Coturnix japonica: one gene and its partners. The protein of the gene in region 5 interacts with the protein of the main gene of each other region in a pairwise test. Links are inferred from orthologs where the notes say so. Each region holds a gene or a part of one and is shown on either strand. Other genes may lie near its edges.

What was found.
Region 1: the proteins of FARS2 (region 5) and RCC1 and BTB domain-containing protein 2 interact in binary tests that used the Homo sapiens proteins (3 or more experiments, as listed by UniProt). The two-hybrid records come from large-scale screens. The link is inferred for Coturnix japonica from reciprocal best matches to the Homo sapiens genes FARS2 and RCBTB2.
Region 2: the proteins of FARS2 (region 5) and MID2 interact in binary tests that used the Homo sapiens proteins (3 or more experiments, as listed by UniProt). The two-hybrid records come from large-scale screens. The link is inferred for Coturnix japonica from reciprocal best matches to the Homo sapiens genes FARS2 and MID2.
Region 3: the proteins of FARS2 (region 5) and AGTRAP interact in binary tests that used the Homo sapiens proteins (3 or more experiments, as listed by UniProt). The two-hybrid records come from large-scale screens. The link is inferred for Coturnix japonica from reciprocal best matches to the Homo sapiens genes FARS2 and AGTRAP.
Region 4: the proteins of FARS2 (region 5) and APPL1 interact in binary tests that used the Homo sapiens proteins (3 or more experiments, as listed by UniProt). The two-hybrid records come from large-scale screens. The link is inferred for Coturnix japonica from reciprocal best matches to the Homo sapiens genes FARS2 and APPL1.

The regions. Positions count from the first base shown.
Region 1 is NC_029516.1:151,085,672-151,090,173, reverse strand, and holds the end of RCC1 and BTB domain-containing protein 2, read left to right. Parts: intron 1-1,401; coding exon 1,402-1,542; 3' UTR 1,543-4,378; downstream 4,379-4,502.
Region 2 is NC_029519.1:1,714,953-1,719,454, reverse strand, and holds part of MID2 (probable E3 ubiquitin-protein ligase MID2), read left to right. Parts: intron 1-2,172; 5' UTR 2,173-2,228; coding exon 2,229-2,894; intron 2,895-4,502. UniProt on the Homo sapiens protein: E3 ubiquitin ligase that plays a role in microtubule stabilization. Mediates the 'Lys-48'-linked polyubiquitination of LRRK2 to drive its localization to microtubules and its proteasomal degradation in neurons.
Region 3 is NC_029536.1:4,899,255-4,904,408, forward strand, and holds the end of AGTRAP (type-1 angiotensin II receptor-associated protein), read right to left. Parts: intron 4,304-5,154; coding exon 4,269-4,303; intron 4,064-4,268; coding exon 3,952-4,063; intron 3,333-3,951; coding exon 3,134-3,332; intron 2,912-3,133; coding exon 2,873-2,911; intron 1,612-2,872; coding exon 1,505-1,611; 3' UTR 875-1,504; downstream 1-874. UniProt on the Homo sapiens protein: Appears to be a negative regulator of type-1 angiotensin II receptor-mediated signaling by regulating receptor internalization as well as mechanism of receptor desensitization such as phosphorylation.
Region 4 is NC_029527.1:6,321,896-6,327,094, reverse strand, and holds the start of APPL1 (DCC-interacting protein 13-alpha), read right to left. Parts: upstream 3,419-5,199; 5' UTR 3,328-3,418; coding exon 3,274-3,327; exon of another isoform or gene 1,010-3,273; intron 252-1,009; coding exon 153-251; intron 1-152. UniProt on the Homo sapiens protein: Multifunctional adapter protein that binds to various membrane receptors, nuclear factors and signaling proteins to regulate many processes, such as cell proliferation, immune response, endosomal trafficking and cell metabolism.
Region 5 is NC_029517.1:64,081,253-64,085,754, reverse strand, and holds part of FARS2 (phenylalanine--tRNA ligase, mitochondrial), read right to left. Parts: intron 3,116-4,502; coding exon 2,955-3,115; intron 1-2,954. UniProt on the Homo sapiens protein: Is responsible for the charging of tRNA(Phe) with phenylalanine in mitochondrial translation.

The DNA of each region.
Region 1 (4,502 bases), on a different chromosome or scaffold from region 5:
AGCTGACAATCCCCAGGTCACAGAAGATGAGCAGTTTGCAAATGATACCAGGACCTTGGTGTGCTGATGGACAGGTGGCTGAATATGAGCCAGCAGTGTGCCCAGGTGGCCAAGAAGGCCAGTGGCATCCTGGCCTGTATCAGGAATGGTGTGGTGAGCAGGACTAGGGAAGTCATCCTGCCCCTGTACTCGGCATTGGTGAGGCCTCATCTCGAGTACTGTGTTCAGTTTTGGGCACCTCAGTACAAAAAGGACATGGAGGGGCTGGAGCAGGTCCAAAGAACGGCAACAAGGCTTGTGAAGGGCTTGGAGAATATGCCCTATCAGGACAGGCTGATGGTGCTGGGGCTGTTTAGTCTGAGGAAAAGGAGGCTGAGGGGAGACCTTATTGCTCTCTTCTAGTACCTGAAAGGTGCTCACAGTGAGATCAGGGCAGGTCTCTTCTCACTGGTGACAGGTGACAGGATGAGGGGAAATGGCCTCAAGTTGAGCCAGGGTAAGTTTAGGTTGGATATCAGGAAGAACTTCTTTACAGAAAGGGTTGTTAAGCACTGTAATAAGCTCCCCAGGGAGGTGGTTGAGTCACCATCCCTGGCTGTGTTTAAGAGCTGCTTGGATGTGGTGCTCAGGGATATGATTTAGTGGAGGGCTGTTAGTTAGGGTAGTGTGGTCAGGTTGTGGTTGGACTTGATGATCTTTGAGTTCTTTTCCAACCTGAGCAATTCTGTGATTCTATGATTCGATGTAGCTGATATATATATATTTTTTCATTGTATCCATTTTAATCCTGCTTTTGCTTGGTTGTAAGATGCAGGATGGTGTTTAAAGCAGATGCTTACATAAGATGCATTGATAGACTGTTCCAGGCACAGGAAGCAAGTAGGAAAAAGGAACTGAAACAAAAACTGAGATGAAATATTGCAGTATGACAGCAGTGTAATAATGAGGTGTATGTGTGTAGGAGTTGCAAAGAGGAGGCTGGAAGTTTACATTGAGTTTCAGAAGGCACTCAGGAATAACATCTGATTAGTAGACTATAAGAATACCAGCTGCTGGTAGAGTAACAAGGTCAGTCTTAACCAAGGTATCAAGGCTAATAAGCAGTAACAGAAGGTATGAACAACTGAGACCAAAGAAAGGAATTGTGGTTTCAGTGTGCTGTGTTGGCAGAAGCCTGGTGTAATCTGTATCTTTAATTAAAGATACGTGTAAGTGTATTCTGAAGTATTTACTTTGTATTTACAAATTTCATCCTATCATCTGCCATCTAATGAGGCTGATCAAAGAAGGGTTGGTCGCTCGTATGTTGTCTGTTTATTAAATGATGCGTTTGGAATGGGAGAATGATGATAAATTTGCTGTCAGTCATTCATATTCTCAATAAATTCTCTTTCTTTTCAGGACTTGGAAGAGTTTTGTTTCAGATTTTGCATAAACCACTTAACTGTTGTAACACAAACTCAAGGCTTTGCAGAGATGGACCACGATCTCCTGAAAAGCTTCATTAGCAAAGCAAGCAGAGTGGGAGCATTCCGAAATTGAGAGCTGCCCACCACCAAGCTGAAGAGCGCGGCCTCATTGCTCCTGGGAATACCTTCTCCACTGGAGGGCTTTGAAGAGAGACTCGGCGTCTGCTGGCTTGGGGAATGCCTTGAAGTCTGCTGACATACTGGTTTGAAAAGATGAGAGCAGCATAGGCGTGTAGGGAGAGCCAGCATTCAGAATCTGACAGCAAAATCTAACACAGTAACTACCCTTTCCCACTTTAAGTCAAGCAAACTAAGCTGTCATTACTGTGGCTATTTTGAGTATATTATTTTTATGTAAACAACCTGTAACTGGATTTTATGGAGCAGTGACAACCTTGCTGCTACAACTTTGATAGCACACTTCTATCACCAAACGAAGTTAATAGGCCATAGTGGGCTGCTTTGTGCCAGCTTATGCAGATTAGGGACGAACTTGGTTTCTGAGCACATGAAGAAGTGCTATAAATTCTTTAGGATGAGAGGCTGAGTGGTAGGAGGTTTTGTCTCACTGTATGTTTATTTGCAGTGTAAATACCAAAACTGTGAAGAGCTTCAGCTGGATATTAGAATATGAAGTTGCTGGCCATTATGGCCACTGTTTTGGACCATTAAGAAACCTCTCCGTTACACCAGACACGTTCCCTGGCATCCCAGTGGGATGGCAAACAGGATTTGTCCGGATGTGAATTGTGGCACTGTGTGTTTCAGCACTCAGAAAACCATCTCGTTGCTTATTAGAAGGAAAAAGAAACCTAAACAAAACCTCAAGGAAAGGGAAGTTCCACTGAGATTTGCTCATTGAATCCTGTTTCACTGCCTGTCCCCCAGTAGGCCATCTTATAAAAGTGGAAAAGAAGATAAGGTGATAAAATGGGCCTTAGAATTAACTCACAAATGCAGAACTCAGCTACTTCCCACATGGCAGTAAGGACAGCCTGCTGAGTGTGTTGTTTCAGGTTCTCCTTTGGCAGTGCTGCAGCACCTCTCCAGGTGACACCACCAGTTGTGTTCCGTGCCTGTGTCAGATGAGACGAGTTGTCTGCTGGCCATTGAGGCGGGTGGGATGGCTGAGGCGCAGTAGGTACTTAATTAATTTCTAACTGATTGACATGTGCTGAGATAAAATCCCACCTTGTGTTACACATATGAAGGGTTGCCCTCTTACAGAAGATGCTGAGCTTATGGAGCAGTTCCTTGGAACTTTAACAGTAAATTAACTCTGAGAAATGATTTCTCTTCACAGAGCAGGAGGGGCAGCTGTAAATGCCCACTGTGGTATTGTACAAAACTGGGTGGCCAGGTTCAGTGTGCTGGTCTATGTCATGCCACCTTCACTCAGGCTCATGCCCTGCTAGAGTCCTCTGGTGACTTATTCCAGGCTTCAAATGTGATTTCTAAGAACTTAATTCCCTTAAATGATCTCAGCCTCATTTCCTCCTTTCTGCAGTGGAAATTACTGTCCTTGGTCATATCAGAGAATTGTTTCTTAAGCTGTTGTATTCCTGGAGGAGAAGGAAGAGGAGAAACAGTTTCTCAGAGAAGAGGAGCAAGGAGTTGCTCTCGTCACATTGGTCTCTGCAGTGGTGATTGGATGGGTAAGGCGTGCACTAGGAATATGTTGTATGGCCTACTGCTAACGAGCTTATTTTGCCATCCCATGGTCATACAGCTTCCTCCAGCAGCACTGAACCTTACTTCAGTTGCTGTGTCAGTATTTCATCTTCAAATAGGACTGGTCAAAACTTTCTACTACATATTGCCATCTCATCAAAACCACAACTTCCCGGAGGGGAAAATGATGTGCTGTGGTAATCCCGTCTTTAAAAGTACTTGCTGCAGGCACACAGATGAGGCTGTTCTCAGGTGAGGCACAAGTTCACTGTGCTGTAGCCCAACACTAATAATATCCAGAGAGCAGATAAAAGGCAACACTGTGAGCCAAGGCTGGGGAGTTCCAACCTGTTTGATTGAGCCAGGGACAGCATGAAGTCTCAGTCCTTTGGGCCTGAGAACTGCCAGCATCACCTGCCAGCATGGCCTTGGCAGCACGCAGAATCAGGTGACACTGCTGCAGCCCTGCTTTTGGGTAGCAACTTGCATGGGCAGATAGTGATAGGACGAGGGGAAAACTAAAAGACGTTAGGTGTTAGGAACTTCAGTGTGTCTGACAAAGGTCGTCATCTTGAGAGAAGGCATCTCTGCACTGAACGAAGGTGACTGTGGGTGTATGATGGCAGCGTTGGCTGTCCCTCACGCCACACGTACCGTTGGTCCTGGATGTGATGGCATTGTATTCATAGAGACTGCTGTTTATTTATTTGCTAACTTTTGTTTGCATGCACTTTCCTTGGCACTTAATGGTCAATGTTTAAGAAACATACAGGCGTAAGTGGTTAAACGTGGCTGCGTGTGCGTAGATGTGCTTAAAACCTTCTTGTGGGACATCCTGGAAGAAATGCAAGATGGATTTTGCCACTGTACCATGGTCTGCAATGGAGTTAAATTGTGGATCCTGTAGGGATCTTTGCTTAAGAAAGGGAAACACAGAGTGGAACTTGCAAGGAAGAGACAAGACAAGAAGCTGATCGCCTCCAGGTTCAGTTGCTGAATAGTCAGCACTGCAGTGCTGTGGGTAGTCGTGGTACTGAGTGAGTGAGCTGCTGAGTCACTTCCATTGGCCTTCCTTGGACAACCAAGAGCTCAGCTGCCCCACAGAGCCGCGACTCGCTGGGTACCTCCTCATGGTGCAGCCTGAACATACAAATAGGTTCTGATCTCTTGTTTGTTTATAAACTTGCCCGGGTTTAACAGACCATTAATAAAAACACCATCGTATTTAAGAAGTGCAAGGGGCTGGTTGGTGCTTTTGTGTATCTTTTCTTTCATAAAAAAGGGAAGAAAGTCTGACGTGATTTTAGCTCAGATGGGTGAACTGAATTGACTGTAAGTAAGTCATGAGGGGGAAAAAAGAAA
Region 2 (4,502 bases), on a different chromosome or scaffold from region 5:
GTTTCTTCCTCGTCCAGGACATCAAAGAGAACATCAAAGCGTGCGGCATGAAAGGCTCTGGAGCGCCTGATGCATGCAGGTGCAGCACCCACTCTGCATGGCAGCACGGTCTGCAGGGCTCCTTGCTGGCTAAAAGATGCAGTCCTGGAGGAAAACAAAGGTTAACGTGTGTATGGCCGACAGGGCCAAAGCAAAGGAGGGAGCTCAGAGGAGAGGATGCTGTGCTCTGCCCTGAGCATCGCAGCAAAGCAGCGGGGTGAACTCTGTCTGCTGGGCGGTTTGTGGCACTATGGAGCCTGCAATAAGATTGCTGCAGCATTTATGATACACGAAGGTCCCATTACTTAATGTCATGAGCCCCCTGAGCAGGAGAAGCTCGAGCTGTGTGGGGTAAGGAGGGCAGGCAGAGTGCTATTGGTGTTTACTGCTGGGGAGCAGGCAGAGCTGAGTTAACAGGAGGGGGTGCAGAGAGGTGAGAGATGCTGCGCGCCCTCTGCAGTTTGCATCTGGGATCTGTGAGCTCCTGGGTGATGTCTGCCTTCTTTCTTGGGGTAGAGGTGAGCAAAGACAAGGCAAGCAATGGGTGCAGAGGGGACACAACATGCAGCTTCTTCCGGGATTTTTCTTCCTGAACTTGTGGACTGAATTGGAAAGCAAAAGCTGGAAGCCATTGAGGGCTCCCGGAGGGGTGGCTCTGGGACTCCATACACACCTCCCACCCTTTGGGTACCAGCACTGACATCCCATGGGCAGATTACCTCACAGGTGTCCCCTGTACCACAAATTTCAGTGACCCCCCCCACCCCCATCCTTCCCTTTCTATGCATCCTTGGCCGCAGTTTGCGTTTTCCACCGTGGATCATCCCCAGCAGCCGCAGTGCGGGGCTCCCCCAGCCTCTTCCCACCTAATTAAACGCTGCCTCTCATTTGCAGGAGATGTTTCCGGGCTGGTGCCGAGCCTGTGCACTCACATGCTAATTCTGAGCAGGCTCCTCCTGCGTGTTCCTGCACCGCAGGGAAGCAGCGGGGCTGGCTAATTGATTGCAGTTTCACCAGCGGCACGGGCTGCTCGCCTCTAATACAGAGCAGACCCGGAGGAAGCCCACCACCGTGCCCCTCCTCATTAATTAGTCCTTGCTACCGCACACAGCCGTGCTGAAGCTGGAAGAAAGCATGCGGTTTCTCTTGTTAGCACCCGGCGGGCTGTTATTCTCTTCCACGTGCAAGCTTGCATTTTGGGGACGCTCAGGCAGTGGCTTGAAAGGAGCTCAGTGCAAGCCTGGAGCTGCTTTTCCCCCAGCTGGAACTGATTAGGGCATCTTTGGCTCGAGGACAGCTGAGAGCCAGGAGTGTGCAGCCTGTCATTTGGCTGTTCTTCCTTCCCTGCTCCTAGAAGTGGGCAGCTGGGAGTGTTAGACTTCGGGAACCACTTTGCTCTGTTCCTGGGTTGCAATTTGCCTCTTGTCCTTCACCAGGATGAGGAGGGGATGTGCAGCCACCGGGGAAGGTGTTCATAGCCTGGCTTTGCCCTCGCAGGCATGGGAAAGCAGCACGGCCCCTGGTTGCTTGCTTTTAGCAGCATGGAATCATGTGGTTTCTCCCATTTTTGTTCTTGGCTGCACTGTTCGAGTCGTCCTTCCTGGCTGGAGAGGCCCCTCCTTGTGCTCCCAGTGCATCTCCCATCCTACAGAATTCCCTCACACTGGTACCAGCTGGGGGCCAAACTGGGGAGCATTGGGGTGCCCAGAATCATTCAGGTTGGAAGAGCCTTTTCAGATCCCCAGCCCACCCCACTGTGCCCATCCCCATGTCCCTCAGTGCCACGTCCCCACAGCTCTGGGACACCTCATGGGGACCCCACCAATCACTGGGCAGCCGTGCTGTGCATCACTGCCCTTTGGAGTCTTACCTAACACCCAACCTGACCATCTCCTGTTGTAACTTAATGCCATCACGTCTTATCCTTTCACAGCTATCTAGGAACAACTATGAGACTGACACCTCTGCGTAACCCCAATGCTCCCTAGGCAGCTGTGCTGTGCATCGCTGCTCTTTTGGAGCCACAAAGCTGTGCAGGTTCCCTCCATCACCAGCAGGTGTTGGTGACCTCTCGCTGGGAAGGAGCTGCCTAGCTTTGTTTCTCACCCTTCAACTCTGCTCTCCCCCTGGCAGGTCACAGACCAGCTTTCCGGGGTTTTGACACTGGATTGGGATCGTTTTAACTAAAGATGGAAACACTGGAGTCCGAATTGACCTGCCCAATCTGCCTGGAGTTATTCGAAGACCCTCTGCTTCTACCCTGCGCCCACAGCCTGTGCTTCAGCTGCGCCCACCGCATCCTGCTGTCCAGCTGCTCTTCCGGTGAGAGCATCGAGCCCCTCAGCGCCTTCCAGTGCCCCACGTGCCGCTATGTCATCTCCCTCAACCACCGCGGCCTGGAGGGCCTCAAGAGGAATGTGACCCTGCAGAACATCATCGACCGCTTCCAGAAGGCGTCACTCAGCGGCCCCAACTCCCCCAACGAGAGCCGCCGCGATCGGCCCTACCGCCCCAACCCCACCATGTCGGTGGGAGGCGAGAGGATTGCCTGCCAGTTCTGTGAGCAGGACCCTCCGCGGGATGCTGTCAAGACGTGCATCACCTGCGAGGTGTCCTATTGCGACCGCTGCCTGCGGGCCACGCACCCCAACAAGAAGCCCTTCACCAGCCACCGCTTGGTGGAACCCGTGCCCGACGCACACTTCCGTGGTCTGACCTGCCTGGAGCATGAGAATGAGAAGGTGAACATGTACTGCGTGGCTGACGACCAGCTCATCTGTGCCTTATGTAAACTGGTGGGGAGGCACCGGGATCATCAAGTGGCATCGCTCAGCGATCGCTTTGAGAAGCTCAAGGTAAGGGGTTGTGGTGGCTGGGGTGTGCTGCGGGGACCAGCGTGGTGTCTCTGAGGTGGGGGATGGAGCTCGTGGGCTCCTCCAGGTTATGTGTTTCCAGGGCTGCTTTGCTGGTGAGAAGCTCTGCTGCTCATCAGCTTCCTTGGATGTGGATGGAGAGATTGGGGAGTGCACCCATGCTCAGCAAATGGCTTGGAAATAGGAGTGCTCTGTTAGAGTCACTGGCCTGAAAAAGGATTTGGCTTAGCAGTAGGTTCCCCACGGCCAAACTTTATGCTTAGGTGAGAGGTGAGATGGAGCTCAGAGGATCCTCATTGCGAGAAAGATACTGAGGCATTGGAGTGTGCCCAGAGAAAGGCAATGGTCTGGAGCACCAGCCCTATGGGGATGAGCTGAGGGAGTGGGACACCTGGCAATGGGCGTGCCACCCCCAGCACAGTGCCGTCCCAGCAGTGTCACTATGCTGCATTCCCCATCCTCATACCCACAAGCTGCAGAAAGGAGCGGTAGTTTTCCAGCCCCCTTCACTCCACCCTGTGCCTCCTATTGATCCAGAGTGAATCCCTGCTCCGTGCTCACAGAGAGCAAACTTCAGGCAGCCCTCTGGGGTGCTCCAAGCTTCATTTCTATGCAGCGCCTGTGCCGGGGCTGAATACCATGTGAACCCGTGTGGATGATGTTTGACCTATATAAAGTTAGAAATCCCTCTCTGTCCCCCACACATCCGCTGTGAGTCTACAAAATGCTGTAAATTCTCTCTGTCTTTTCTTCTTTATATAAAAACCAACAGAGCTGGTCCCATCCGGGGTCACAGCAATGGGGCTGTGCCTGCGGTTGTGTTCCAGTTGCAGCCTTTCTCCAGCACTTCTTCCTCAGTCCCTTCTCCCATGATGTTCTGGGCTTGTGCAGCCCCACAAGTGCTTTTCTTGTCTCATTCCCTCTTTAATCCCTCAGACAACATCGATTTTTCTGCTCTCGTGTTTCCTGAGGGCAAAAGAAATACTTCCATCACTTGCAAAAATGGAGATGATTTCTTCCTTGCGCTCCGGGTTGATTAGAAAAGGGAAGAACAAAGCTTTCTCTCCAGGCATCTGTCTTCCTAGATGGAGAGTTTCCCACGAGCTGCTTCCCGGGCAGGTTTCCCACCTGCCCTTCCCAGATCCTCCCAGTCCTGTGCTGGTGACACAGCCCCGCGGTGTGCCTCACCTCCGTGTCCCCCTCTCTGCGCCAGCGCAGTGTTCTTCCCTTCAGAACATTCTTTTTCCATGAGGAAATGTCTCAATTAGCAAATTGGAAACCTTAGAAAGGAAGGTCCGTGACTGTTTGCGTGCAATAGGACCCTGGGACAGGACTTAAAGCCCTTTTCATATTTCCCCATCGTGTCGGGGAGCCAAGCAGGCTCATGTGAAGGCAAAAGCCCTGACAAACTAAGCTGCCGCTCCAACCAAATCTGTGTGTGCTGCCAGAACAACTCCCCCCTCCCCATGTTTAAATAACAGTCCTAAGTGATTTTGGATGAGGAGGGAAGCTCTCTTCTGCTATAAACATTCCCCTGTGCTGCTCATCCAGCACGGGCGGATTCCTTGCTCTCTGGCAGAGCTTTGCAGG
Region 3 (5,154 bases), on a different chromosome or scaffold from region 5:
AAAAAACAAACTCTGCCTACCTAGTCTTCATCATGGGAGAGTAAATCAGATTAATGCAGCTCTGCAGCATCTACTGTGTGTTCAGCCAAGCATAAGCAACACTGGTCCAGGCACAGCAGCAGGCCATCGTAATGCTGGTGCTGTAGAGGGAACGAAGCATCTGCTAATGTTTGGAGTGACAAAACTTGAAAGAAAAATGCTTGCCTTTAAAGATACAAATGGTATGTTCCTAAGGGGTAGAGCAAAGTTAACAGGGCTTTTGGTCATTGAAGAGTCAACACAGCATCAGGTCTTGTCAGAGAAATGCAATTCTCAAATAACAAATGCATACCTTGAAAGTGAACCTGCTTCAGAAAAACACACATCTTCCCAGCTCTTGTATTTTTCTTCAGCCAAGGCTGACAATCTTTCCTTCTTCTGACAAAACCTGCTGAACATTTATTTGTAAGGATTTCCCCCTGAAAGCCACAGCAGGGCAGGTTTAATGTGTATAAGATCTACATTTATAGCTTGCCACATTCCAGAGCTCACCACAAACCCACCTCTTCCCTTCCCTAGCCCTTTAACTCACTCACCTTCACTGCCAACACATCTCCATGCGGTACCTTCCACATGTTTGCTTAATGCTTACAACAGAGCCATTGAAGCCTTGTAGACCTTGCCCCCTAATAACCCTCCCAGAGCCTCAGGAATAGCAGTGTTTTCAAATGAAACATGGGTGACCAGTGTAATTTTTCTTTCTAACACAGAAGAACTGTGTTCATTTTATGTTTTTCTTAGAAAAGTGTAACACTTAAGTCCTATTAAGACAGGCAGCTGAAGGCAAAAGGACATTTCAAGGCACAGAACATATGTAATCAACATTTAGCAGCCATTAAGTATCCTGAAGAACATTTTACTTCCATAAAAGCATCAGTGAATGCTCCCTGGCCCAGTAGGAGCACTTGATACCAACCCCAACTGCACGTAAACCACCACAGCTAGCACAGGGAGTTATGGTCATAAATCTTAATTATAAAACACCATCAAAAACAGCCCTGAAGAAGTCCCAGATGTTTCCTGGAAACATATCAACAACAAAACGGGTTGAACTGTTGTTTTAGGGGCAGTCCTTAAGCTTGTTAAAGATAGCTTGCCCAGGAACATCCTGTGCATCTCCCTTACTTAGAATAGAGAGGATGCACAATACAAGACTTAGTAGAATGCAGAAGGTGCATCCACTTGCACATACATAGGAGGGATTCAAGGGGAGAGAGGAAAGCAGTGTGTTGAAATTACAAACAGCTTAAACAGCACTTAAACAGCTTAAACAGTGCTTAAAGTCACTTGAGATCTTCCGGACTCACTCCAAGAACCCCTCTGTCTAATCTTCAGGAAGGAAAAAGTCAAATCAGATCCTCTTCTGTTTGCTCAGTAGAAGGTCTTGTTTCATCAGAATAGACACGGGAGGAGTGTAAGGCTGGACTGGGGGAGGGAGGTGTCCATTCTGCTGCAGACAGGGGCCTCAATATGGTTGCTGAGCTGTCTTGCTTGAGTCAGGCCACAGTGGAGAGGCATCCTGCTGATCAATTGTCTCATAGGCGCTGCGGTCCCGGCCTGCACGGTTGAGACCTGAAGAAGAAGAGAACCAGCTTGATAAAAATAAAATAAAATGAGCACAAAAAAAACCACCCGGAATCTCTTAGAAGAAACCAAAAGTTGAGTGGCATGCCACGTTACCACAACAGGCTTGTTTTACACAGTGAGGATGCTGCCCAGTGGTGAAGAGGGCTTTTGTTTCAAAAGAAAGACAAGACAGAGGACCTGGAAAATCACAATTAAGTTCAAAAGAAAAATGCCAGTTAGTAGGAAAAGAGAAAAATTGTCAACCACGTTCAACAGAAAACAACAGCACATGGTTTGTACTGAGAATGTTGTGAGAAAGACATTTCAGGAGAGGATAAGAAAATACTACGTGAGTGAATTCCAGCTTGTGCCTGGGAAGAGATTCTGACATCATGCCTGTGCTGGAGTAGCATGGGGAGAAGGGAGAATACTCACCTATACTTTCTATAGGATACAGATATCAAATCTGAGTTACAAGTAGAGTAAGCAGCTAATAAAAACTGGCACAGACATGGCACACAGGCCTTCTGAGCCAGCTAAGAGAGACCTGCCAGCATCTGCCCAAGCAGCTGATGGAGAGAACATCCACATTCTTCTATTACAAGATGCAAACTATACTGTGAAGCCACCATTTTCCTCTGACAGCCTCTCCTTCTCTACAAGCATCCACCTCTTTTCACAAGAAGCCTCATCTTTTTTGCTAACACCAACGCAGTCTAAGTGGCAGCTTTTAAACACTGCAGTGCTAGTTATACCACCCTTTGTCCTACAGAGCCTCAGGAAAGAAAAAGACAACTGCACTAGGCTGCTGGTTTTGCCAAGATGAACTCCCACACAGCAAACACTCTCTGGCAGCTGCCCCAGTATGAACTAGCACCAGGAATATTTGGCAAAGAAGCTGACAGAATACCCAACTATAACACCTCTCTCTGGCAGGGCTGCCACATTATTCCTAGCAACTACAGCCAGGAGGAAAAACAAGTGCCTCCACACAAAGCAGCAGAAGGTAAACGTCAGTCCCATTTCCCAGGTAAGGAAACAGCAGTCCACAACAATTAAGATAGCTAGGACACAGAGTTAGAAACCCACCCTTTCCTCACATGCATAATTCCCAGGTAGAAGGGATTGATGCCTTTACTTCCCCACAGAAGGAAAAGGTTGACAAAGTGAGAAGGACACCCAAAGGCTTCTGAGAAGCGCACAGAATGCAGGAAGAGAGGAAAAACCTGAGTTAACTGAGTAAGAGTGACAGCAGTGGCATCAATACCATTGTAGGCAAAACGGCTGTCAGACGAGGACTCCAGGTCTGCAAGGGAAGAGAGGAAGAATATAAATTTAAGGCCTAAGACTCAGCAGGAGCACAAAAGTGAGAACAGACACGAGGAAGAGAGAGGTCATCCTCTTCTCCTTGGAAAGAGGGGCAGAATCCAGATGCACACGGTTGAGGCTGAAGGGTACAATTCTTCCCTAGCAGCCTTCTCTAACATCAGAGGATGTGGCCCACACTGATCTAGAGGAAGCAACCTACCTATGTTGAAGATGTATTCTCCTCCACGCTCCCGGTACATTCGATACACAAAGTAGCAGGATCCGGGTTTCAGGAGGAGGCTGAAGATGGCCATGCCCATACTGAAACGCTTCGCATCGATGAGATAAGCATGTAAAGGGTAGTAGACGGAGATGTGAATGATGTCTGTGAGGACTGTGAACAGCAGGCCGGACAGGAACTGGAAAGAGAGAACAGGACATGAATTGAATGAGGAATTAACTACCAGGAGTAACAGCCAGTTATAGGTTCTATCTACTAGAAGATCAGCATTCACACAGTTATGCTTTCACCTCTGTATAACACAAAACCTCTGTATGACCCCTGACACAGCCCCAAGGTAAACAGATTATCGTATGATCTCATACATCATGTATTTTCTTCACATCTGCTGGACGCTTTCTACTAGTATGTTCCAGGGTTGTTTATTTATGCTTGCCAATTTCTTTAATGATCAGAGAAGGGAATCTCTAAAGACATCTCTAACTCAAGCATATTAAATAGTCTGAATCCTCCTCTGGCATTGAAAGCGACAACAGCAGGCAGAAAATAAGAACCAAGTATGCCTTACCCCTGAGAAGCAAAATAATGGATAGTGAATGCTTCTCACCACAGTTTATAGTGCTTAAGTAGAAGCCAGGTTCCCTTGGGGAGACAAGAATAAATAAATGAAGAGTTTGACTTGTTCACTGTTGCACTGGGAGCAGCTGAAGATCATCACTATACTGATTCAAAGGAACCTTTCTGCCCTCCACCCTCTCCCTGAGCAGCCAGGTAAAGGCAAATGCCCTCACACTCACCATCACGATGGCATCAAGGGAATCTCGCTGCACAATGGCCCAGATCCCCACTGCAAGGACACTGAAATTCCCCCAAGCATAGGAGGCTGGAAACGAGTTATTCATGCATCCCCTGCCAAACAAGACAAAGAAAACCCAACCCAAGTTCACAAGGAGCCTGCAGCAGTGTTTGCATTTATCCCTGCTCCCATACAGGCACTTGGCCTTAGGATCTCCTTGCACACAGGTGTGAACAGGGAGTGCCGATTCCCCAAGAACATCCCATTCCTAGTTTGAAGGAAGCTCTTCTCAAGCCAGGCCAGTTACCAATCACTCACCACACTGTGAGCAGCCAGTGCACCAGAATGATGGCCTATGGAAAAAACAGAGAGGAAGACAGGTCAGCAAGTGGGAAAACTGTGGGAGAAATGATATAAAATTATACCACCTCATCTCCATGACAGAGAGTAGGAGGGTGCCCTGGAACCAGTGCAAAAAACTACCCTAGCAACAGGTCCAGCAAAGACAAAACCATTTTTTCTCTGCTTCTGTTGCTGAGTATTTCCTGTTGTGCTCCACTGTAGTCATTCATTGCTGTCATCATCACTGCTGACAGTGGATTCAGGGCATGCTTAAGCCTTTTCTAAATGTGTTATTGATTTTGGAACTCCAGAAGTCAAGCCAGACAACCTAATTCACACTAAACTAGCACAGCTCATATATGACCAATCTACTATCCCACCACCAAGAAGTCCATGAATTGTCATGACTGCAGCTCCCAGCATTTTCACTGTGAATTCCCCTTTACCCCCTTCCAACCTGCCTCGCTCCAATATTAACAGACCTGAAGTCATCTTCTAGGAACCTAAAGACCCAATCCTGCCATGCTACACCACTCTTTTCACTTCCAGGGACAACACTAGTGCCCAAATACTGTCACATTTATTGACTCAAAATGTCTACACCTGCTCTAACTTCACACAGAACTCGTGGCTTCAGGAAAGTTAATGACCCATGAAGCTGTGACGTGAGTGAAACCAGAAGGAGCGATGCAGCTGCAATGGCTTGGACTGTCCAGCCAAGATATCACAACATAGATATCTTATCATAAGGCAAAGCCCTGGTTGCACTGCAGCACCCTATCACATCTGCTGAGCATTCAGCACAGACCGCCTGAACATCAAACGCTGCTCAAACAGGTTTTTAATAATGACTATTTTTTTT
Region 4 (5,199 bases), on a different chromosome or scaffold from region 5:
AAAAGCAATAATTTAATGCTTGTTTTGTAAACATGAAACACTTTTTTACAAAGTTCAAAAATATATTTGCTTATAAATTTTTCCAAAAAAGGAAGAGACATAAAATGTGGTTCAAAAGCTTTGTAATGCATTCAGGAATTCTCTAACAGTACCTGCGCATCATACACTCTATGCATTGCTTGAAATAACTGATTGACGTAGTTGGAAATTGCAGCAGCATCTTCTTCAAACACTCCCAGCAAGGAACGGGTCTGTAACAGTGAATCAGAACAATGTGTCATGTTAGCAAAGAACTATTTAAATGCAAGAGAATTTCCAAGTTAAGCAGCAGTGCTGCAGATCTCCTTTCTGAAGTTTATAAAGCCACTGTCACAGCATCCACTGCTATGTGCTGTGTATCACAGAATTAGAAAAAAAACAGAATGTATTTTAAAACTACATCCAAGCTCAGTCTTGCTCAGCCTCTCTCCAGGTTAAAGGAGTATGTAGTCAGACAGCACCAAGAGATGTGGATAAGTATAAATTATAAGCGTTGGAACTGTGAGCTACTACTGGTATATCATTATGGTATATCCCCAAGGAAAACTGACTGGAATTAAGCAGCATGCCAGGTACACATTTCTTCTGAGAAAGAACAGCTGTGGCTTTCTAGCACTCCTTCTTCTGTATGAGTAGTTGCTGGCTGTGCTGGGCTATGTAACTCATGTCTGCAATAGCAGCCAATTCTGTGCTCAAAAAGCTGAAGAACTGAAAGTAACCAAATCAAACTGATAGAATCTACATTTTCTTAATATACACACTTCTCTGCCCCACCTGCCAGTGAGCTGTGTTCTTTGTCTGCTGTCCCCAGCCCATCAGTCAGCCTGCCCTTCACTGGTGCCACCCACAAATGCACCTCCTGTGTAACTTTAGAAGTGGTTGCTGTCTTTACTGCTGTCCACATACTGGAGTTCAAAACACCGATCACCAACTTTTAGGGCTAACTGTTCCGCTGTTTTTTTCTACCCAGTTGCAGTCTGTACCTCCCTGCTTTGGCCAGAAGGAAATTACTGGAGACAGATCAGAATCCTCTGGTAAGTTGGCATGAATGACGTTCTTGATGAAATGACTGGCTAAACAAGAAGACAATCAAGTTGCTTAGGGAGAATTTGCCCTTAAGAGGAATTAAAATGCTCACTCAGTGCTCTTTCATCTCTGCATCTGGAAGCAGTTTTACTCCTAACCATAAGGTTATCAGATAGCTTGGCAAAAGGGGAAAGAACAGAGAATGTAGCTGTAACTCTGCATGAGCTACAGTTGCTCTTCCTAAGAAACACTGTGTAGTATTGCACTAAATATTGGTTGTGATGTTTGGATGCAAGGCCAATCACTTGCAAAACCCACAAAATAAACCTTTAACTCTTAAATTACTGGCAAGAAGACCGTGCATTTTTAGGCCCATACTAAAATTAATGTGCAGACAGAAAATGAAGAGAATTGTGATGACATAACAGATGTTTTTAACCCACAAATTGTCAGTTTTAAGCACTTGTTAATTCTCTTTCTTAGCCTTCCTCAAGCTGAGTACCTGTAGCTTCCCTGACTGGGAATGGATGCAACTTACGGGGCTTGGGAAGAAAATAAGAGAGCAATGCATGATATCAGGAAAATCTCTCTGGTGAGACCAGCGTAAAGCACTGGATTGCACTGCATACAAAACACGGTAATAAAACCTTGAAATGTGCCTTAGAATGTAGTCCATCTGCCCTTGTATAAACACTTATCAAGTGTGTTATTTGATCACTTGACCATGAAAGCCTCTTATTTAATTGAAATTGATGAGTGGTTGTCCCACAGATGTGATCATACCATATAACTCCTACAGGACACCTAAGGGGAAAGAATAAGCAAACAGCATTACCAACACAGCAAATCACTTTAATGATGGTTCTTGTTTACAAAACAACTGGAAGAAGTGTTGGGTGGAGGAGGAAAGAGGTGGAGAGCTCGGATGGTTGTCAGGTGTGGCAATGTGTTGCATCATCCTAATAGCTGTGAGTCTTCAGATATGAAAGAATGCAGCAGAAAAAAATACCATAAAGACTGACTTATATACTCATGACCTTTAAACCAAGCACTAACAAACCTGACCCTGCAATTTGAAAGTGTTATCGTGTTTGATTTCCGGATTATACTTACTCTCTAATACTCCGTAATACAGAACCCTGTGGAGTAAAAGCATTTCTATGGGTTTTATCATTAAAATATCAGTTATTGACTTCAAACTGACAGTGTAATTATAGCGATGGAAAGAAAACTGAAATTGAGAAGTTCTGACAGATATTGCTGAACAAAAAAATGGAGGAACTGTTCACTCACATTTCCAGTGAAAAACTGAGGAGCTCTAATGCTCCTTACGATGTTTTATCACACATGGATCAGCTGCTACACCAGAAGCTACCAGTACAAAACTGCACAAGGAAACCACCTGTTTGAAAGTCAGTGAGCTGTTAAACAATTCATGTCATCACACGTATTGTATTGAAAGAGACGTGAGATGGAGCCTGTGCCATTGAGTCCTGTGGGTTTTTTGTGGTGCAATAGTTTGGAAATAAGAGAGCAGCAACTCTCTAAACACATATATCTGCACACTGAATGTGTGTACAACTAAACTGTGCTGCCTTGCTTATCAAAGGCAACATAAAGTGTCACTTGGTTTATTTCTGAAAATAGACAGTGGTTTGATTTCTACCCCGCACCAAAAGGAAATCAATGGTTTATTCACCCTTTAAGAGATCTTAGCTTGGTTGCAGAGTAAGTCTGATTTGGAGTTTATATAAGTGAAGTCAGCATCTCAAACATGTCTAATGGTACTGAATTCCAGTGCACAGTTCAGCCCTGAAAACCTGTCCAGATCAGGTCAAGTCTCTAGGCCACAGTCTGTGCAGCAAACCAGATCTTGTCTAACATCTGGTATCGGGGCTATATGGGACACTGCCTTATGGAAAGCAATGATACACCTCTTACACAGCCTTCTCTTCCAAGCTGTCCCTCCATTGATCTAGATTTGTTGTCACCGCTATTATAGGGATTAAAATCCTCTGTTTAGTAAATAAAGTTTCAATGCTCGAGCAATCAAAGCTACCACTGAATATGCTATTACAGCATTGGAACTGCTGCTCATCTGCATAAACTATGCAGCAAAACAAGGCCGGGCCTCCGCGCTAGGCCTGGCAGCCCCGAGTCGAGCCCGATCTGTCCTCCCGTCATGGAGCCGCTCCTCGCCTGACCCACCTGCGGGCTGTCCTCCAGCGTCTCCTCGATGGGCAGCTTGTCGATGCCGGGCATGGCGGCAGCAGGGATCCGATCTGCGCCGCTGCTGCTCCCGCTCCCTCAGCTCGCCCAGCTGGACGGGCCCCCCCGGCAGCAAACACTTGTCCCCGCCCCGAGCAGGATGTCCCTCCCTCCTGCCGCCCGCCTGCCTTTACTATTGGCTCCATAGCCCAGCTGCCCGGCTTCTTATTGCTCAGCGGGGCCTTCAGTCTGTCTACATACCGTGGGCTCTGTGCCCGCCTCGGTGGCTGTCTGAAGGGAGGTGTCGTGTGGTTCGGGTTGAGCCCGCGCGATGGGCGCCGTGCCTCAGGATGGCGTTTACCTTGGGTTGGCACTTACCTCGGGATGGTGCTTACCTGTGTGCCACCACTTACCTGTGTGTCGCCACAACGTCCTGTCAGGTTGTGGACATCCCAACCGCTCCTGCTGTGGCAGCTCGTTAGGCTGAGCCAGGTCGGTGTGTGCTGTTACACTGAGGGGGAAATAACCGCTCCTGAATTGCCATTCTTACAGCTTTGTGATTTGGAGAGATGTATATAGAGTTATCTTACTAGGTTTAAAGGCTAAGCCTTGTATCTTGGTCATTTGCTTACTGTGCTCTAACTGGATCCATGAGTATGAGCAGGCAATGCCAGCGTTGGCTCGTGACCTACATACACCTGCACAACTTTCTAGTTTTGATATCAGTGAACTTGGTAATGGTTGGACTAGATGATCTTCTAGGTCTTTTCCAACCTTGGTAATTCTGTGATTCTGTGAACTGTTGACCAGTTTCTCACAGCAGTCTTCTGTAAGAATTGCTCTCTATTTTGTAGTATATGTTAGTGTCATTCCCCTAGCAGAACTCAGAAAGGTAGTAAAGAACTCTAAACGTAATTATTTCTAATCACCTTTGCAGTTTTACAGCTGCAAATGACAGGAAAGATGCATTTATTGAGCTCATATAGAATGGGAAGAAAAGCACTTAAAAAACTGAAACTTGTGCAGAAATGGAGCAGGCTGCCCAGGGAGGTTGTGGATGTTCCTTCATTGGAGGTGTTCAAAGGCCTTTGAGTGACCTGTTCTAGAGGGAGGTGTCCCTGCCCATAGCAGGGGGTTGGAACTAGATGAGCTTAAAAATCCCTTCCAACCCAAACCATTCTGTGATTCTATATCAAAACAAAATAGTAACAGACAAGTTTTTAACATGTCAGAATGTGCTTTGGTATCTCAATTGGCGTGTAGTGTTCGTATTTCCATTTATCTTAATGTTTCAGTTCATTTTAGTAGCAAGAGAGAGCCCTTTCTGGTTGTTCTCTAATATACCAGGGCTTCTTCTAGTTCATAGTTAGGTTTCTAAATAGGTTCCTTACATGGAAACAGTCAGTGATGTCCCAGTAGCCTTGTATGTTATGATATTTGTGAGAAGATACACAAGGCATTTAGAAGTTTTATTTGGGATATATGTTTGGCTGCAGTGGAGGAGGTTGGATAGCAACAAACTGAGGAATTCATAAGAATCCACTAATGGGAATGTTTTTAGTGTTACACTTCTATAAGAATTGTAAACTTTCTTAGTGTGGATGACTTTGTTTGTACAAAATACTGAGGGGCAGTGTAAGTGTGGAGAACTAATGGCTGGCATTATATAAACAGGGAGAAGAGCAGCCTACAAGGATTAAAGATGTGTCCCCCTAATGGAGAGAACTTTGGCTCTGCTGGAGAGTGGAATTAGCCGTCTGGATCAGGTAGGATTTATTTGCATGTTATCTGTTAACTAGCGTACTGTTTCTTCTGATACCCTTGGATTTACCTTGAATTTATGTGTGTTCACTTAATCAAAGTAGCTTTCACTTACCAAGGAATAGCGAACTGTGTTCAGTTGTGCTTTGAAATAAATTATGTTGA
Region 5 (4,502 bases):
AAAAGAATCCTTCCCATTGGACCTGACTCTCACACTTCAAATATTTATAAATAGTGACAAGAGCCCCTCTCAGTTCTCTCTTCTCGAGGCTGAACAGCCCCAGGTTACTCATCCTTTCCTCATAATGGAGATGCTTCTTCCCTTCTCTAGGAGTTACATCTATCCAGTCTCTATTAAAATGATCGTGGTTAGAAAGTCTGCTACAAGTAGAAGCTAACACTGTTTGGAAGAAACTGATTTTGGGAGACTGCATGTGCCAGCAGATACAAGGAAGTAGCAGATCCCTGAGTTGATAAGAGTGCTAAGAAGTAGGTGGTGCAAGGGTTATTGTAGATATTGCAGAAACAAAGAAAATGAGAAGAAAGGAACCCTTATAATGTCACCTAGGGAGTCTGCATTTAGCTTGGAATTAGATACTCTTTGCACCAGTGCTTCCCTCATAACAACATAAACACACTTCTGTCAGACCTGAGACCGGGCTACAAGACTCATCTACAATCAAAATACTCATTTAAAAGAACTGCAGCAGCAGTAGAGACCATGAGCATCAGCTGAAAGTGATTTGTGAGGGAAGAATAGTCAGTGGGCACACCGTGCAGCTTGCTTGGTCTGGCAGCGCAGTGATGGAGGTTCCAGGAACTGTCCTGTCTCCAGAGCCCATTCATCTTAATCAACACCTCTGGGTACACTGCACTTCATCTCAACTGTGAGAGTCTTCCTTCCTTAAATGTCATTTCATTTTTGTACCTTTTCCTGTAAGTTGTCAGCCCATGGACATATCTTTTTCTTTTAAGAATGCAGGTTCAACATGGGCCAAAAAGTGATTACATGCAACTCTGCTCAGAGCTCTGATGAGCAGAGAGATAACAGTGTACTAGATCAGATCCAAGCCATTTGTTTTACTATGTTACGCCTTGCAGGTGCTTAGTCTTTCCTGCCCTGTCCATTCTTAGCTCTTCATTTCACAGCCTGAACAGAAGCCCTACACATGAGTGACTGAAGGCAAGTAACTAACCACACGCTGCTGCGACTTCTGTCAAATTATAGCTGGAGTGATTTAGGTAATAGAAATCAACACCATAAGCTGATCTGTGGGGAGCAGAACTCTAGCACTGCTGTGCTGATTGACCCCAATGGTACAAGCACTGTCAGCTTTCCCAGTAGCTTTTTGACCTACTGAAGCCTACATGCATCAGTTGAGGAACTGATGACATAGGAAAAAGCTTGACACATTCAGGCTGCTTAAAGGCACAAAACATACATTTATGTCCCAAGAAAAAATTCAAATCAAACTCCATTCAGAACAAGAATATATTTAGCCCTGCTATTATTAAGCTGACTGCTGCTCACCATGGTCTTAATCTGTTTGAAGAACATTTTAATGAACAGAAAGAAAAATACCCCAGTTGGTGGATAACACACAGATTATAAAAAGAGGTAGGGGAATACCCAAAGGTTGAGAAGTCTATCACAGTTAAGCACATGTAGCACGTCCATGAAGGATGGTCATTTACCCAGACCTTGTGAGGCTGCAGTATTAAATCTGTGCAATAAAAGGCTCTCAGAAAATACAATCCATACTGGTTCAGTTCAGCCAGGCTGAAAAATACTAGGAAAAGTGGCAAAACTGTCTTCTTTCTGTAAGCAGTAACCACTACCCGACTGCCCTAATGATAGTGCTACAGAAAGCAAAAAGAAAAGAAAAACATCTATCCATACATTGTTTTGCACAAGTAGGTGTCCAGACGGATCTTATATATCTCCATAAAAGGAGACTTCACCACCTCTCTGGGCAGCCTCTTCCAGTGCTCTGTCACTCTTACTGTAAAGTTATCTCATATGTTTGTATGCAACTTCTTATTTTCAAGATGTGCTAGAACTGCCATGAACAAAAAAATGGATGCATCTTTGGTTTGACATGACTGCCTCAGCGTTATCACTGTTGATTTTCCCTTTAAGCTTTTCAGTTTTTAAAAATGATAATAAAGCTGCTCACAAACAAACCAAGGAAAATGTAAAAGGCAGCAGTAATAAGTGCTTTTATGCTCTACTAATTCATACTTTGTCAGACATCTACACAGTTGTCAGCTCAGCTCCCCCAAAGACCAGTGATCCCAGCTGACTTAAGCCTTCCTGTGCTGATACTGAAGAATATTATGAAAGTAGCATTTCCACTTGATCCATTTACGCTTGACTACTTTGCTACTACAAGAAATAAGATAAGTTGCCAACTACAAAAGCACGTGAAGTCTCAAAAGAGGAGTTTCAAAAGAAGTTGACACTACACTCTCACCCACCACTACCAGCTGGAGGAAAGAGCCAATGTATTGAAGATGGCGGTACGTGTTCAGAAAGCATTTCATCACTGTTAAACAATGCAACTCACATCAAATTCAATGAATTTAGAGTGAGAACTAAGGAGAAAATTAGAAACATACTATAATGGTTGAAGCGTCAGCATCAAACAGGTTTTTATGAAAAGAATTCAAGAACACAATCAATTCAGACACACATCTGTATCAGTCCTTACTCTGGACAGATCTAAAAGTTAAATACATGTTTAAGTATTATTCAAAACAACGATATTCATGGAGTATCAGCAGTAACTCAGAACATTACCTGGCTGAAAACATGTTATCATCAAAAGCCAGATTCTATTGCATATCATAGTATCATAGTATCATAGTCTCGTGCGGTTTGGAAGGGACCTTAGAGATCATCGAGTCCAACCCCCAGGATTCGAGCCTCTGTGTAGCAGAGCGGCACTTCTACCACTTGCGTCACAAGGGGGATAAATATCAGATTATCAGAGAACTGTGATAGTTTGAAAGGCTATGTTGAGAAACCTGACACGTTAATGATCCAGAATTTTAATTATATTTAATTATATTATATTCTTTAGGCCCACACACACTTCTTACTGACAGAAAATTATTGCATACATATTAATTTACCTGGAATTTTATTTTTTGGGAAATATGAGGTACAATAAATTGCTTCAGGAAGCGTTCATCTTCACTCCAGAACAGTCGGATGTCAGGAATATCATACAGGATCATGGCCAGCCTCTCTAAGCCCAAGCCAAAAGCCCAGCCAATTTTATCTTGAGCACCAGCTGCAACAAACAAACAAGAAAAAAATTCAAGAGGTTAAGCTCACAAAATCAAAAATTAATGATAAAATGTTCACCTATTTCCTAAGAAAAGAAAAAATGTTAAGTGCCAAGATGGAAATGCCTACAAGTAATCAGCAATGCAAAATATACAGGTCACTGACCTATCACACTTCAACCAGAATGAGCAGTGAGACAGGGCATATCACTTGGTTTAGGAACTGCAATAGGCAATGAAGCTGCTCTCTGCACTTTCTGGTTCCACAGTTTCAGACAGATATTGAGAAAGGCTGCAGAACACTACAGACATGTTTTCTTTGTTATCCTTCAAGCTTAGCATTTCATGTCCAACTTGACTGTTTAACAAAATATGCAAATGTGAATTTCCTATTCAAGATATTTAAATGGACTGACAGACTAGCCAAGTCCATGCGGCATTAACATCACTGCCAGCATTTGAGGATCAAAATTCCCTCTGTTGAGGCACCTGGGAAAAGCAGGGCAGTGGGCTGCTAGGCCCTGTCACGTTGGCATCACACCTCCATGCAGGTTACTCCTGGGATGCTTCCCCTGGAGAAAGCTGCTGCCCCCACATACACAAGTCTCTTTTATGCAGCTCTAAACACAAAAAGACAAGAATATTTAATCCATAAGAGCGTTACAGATATTAATGATGCAACACTTCCATCAGGAAATATTCATACCTTCTTCATTTACAGGGCAAGGGTACTGAGTTATTAAAGTGAGTTTTTTTCCAATGTCACGAGCCATCTCCATGTTTACGCATCATTCTAGTGATTTTGAACTAAGTTGAGAGCCCAGCAGCTCCACAAAGGCTCACAGCTTTTTCAAATTTAAACAAATTCATAAATAAACACTTAGTCTAAAAGGATGTGTGCATGTGTGACAGGCTTGACTCTTCCGCATCAGCACTAGCAGCTTCTCCATGAAAATGCTGTGGGAGATTGTGTCAAAGGCTTTATACTAAAGCCTATGTAGACTATGTCCACAGGCTTTCCTTGACCCACTATGTAGGTCACACAGTCATAGAAGGAGATGAGTTTGGTCAGACAGTACCTGCCTTTCATAAAACCATGTTGGCTAGGCCTGACCTCCTGGTTGTCTTGCACATGCCATGTGAACACACTTAAGCTGATACACTCCATAACCTTCCCTAGTACTGAGGTCAGGCTGACAGCCCTGCAGTTTCCCAGATCCCCCTCCCAAACTTTGTTATAGATGGGAGTCATACTGGCAAGACTCCGGTCATCTGGAACCTCCCCAGTTGACCAGAACTTCTGACAAATGGTGGAAAGTGTCTTGGCAAGCACTTCTGTCAGTTCCCTCAGTACCTTCAGGTGGATCCCATCTGGCCCCATGGACTTGTGAC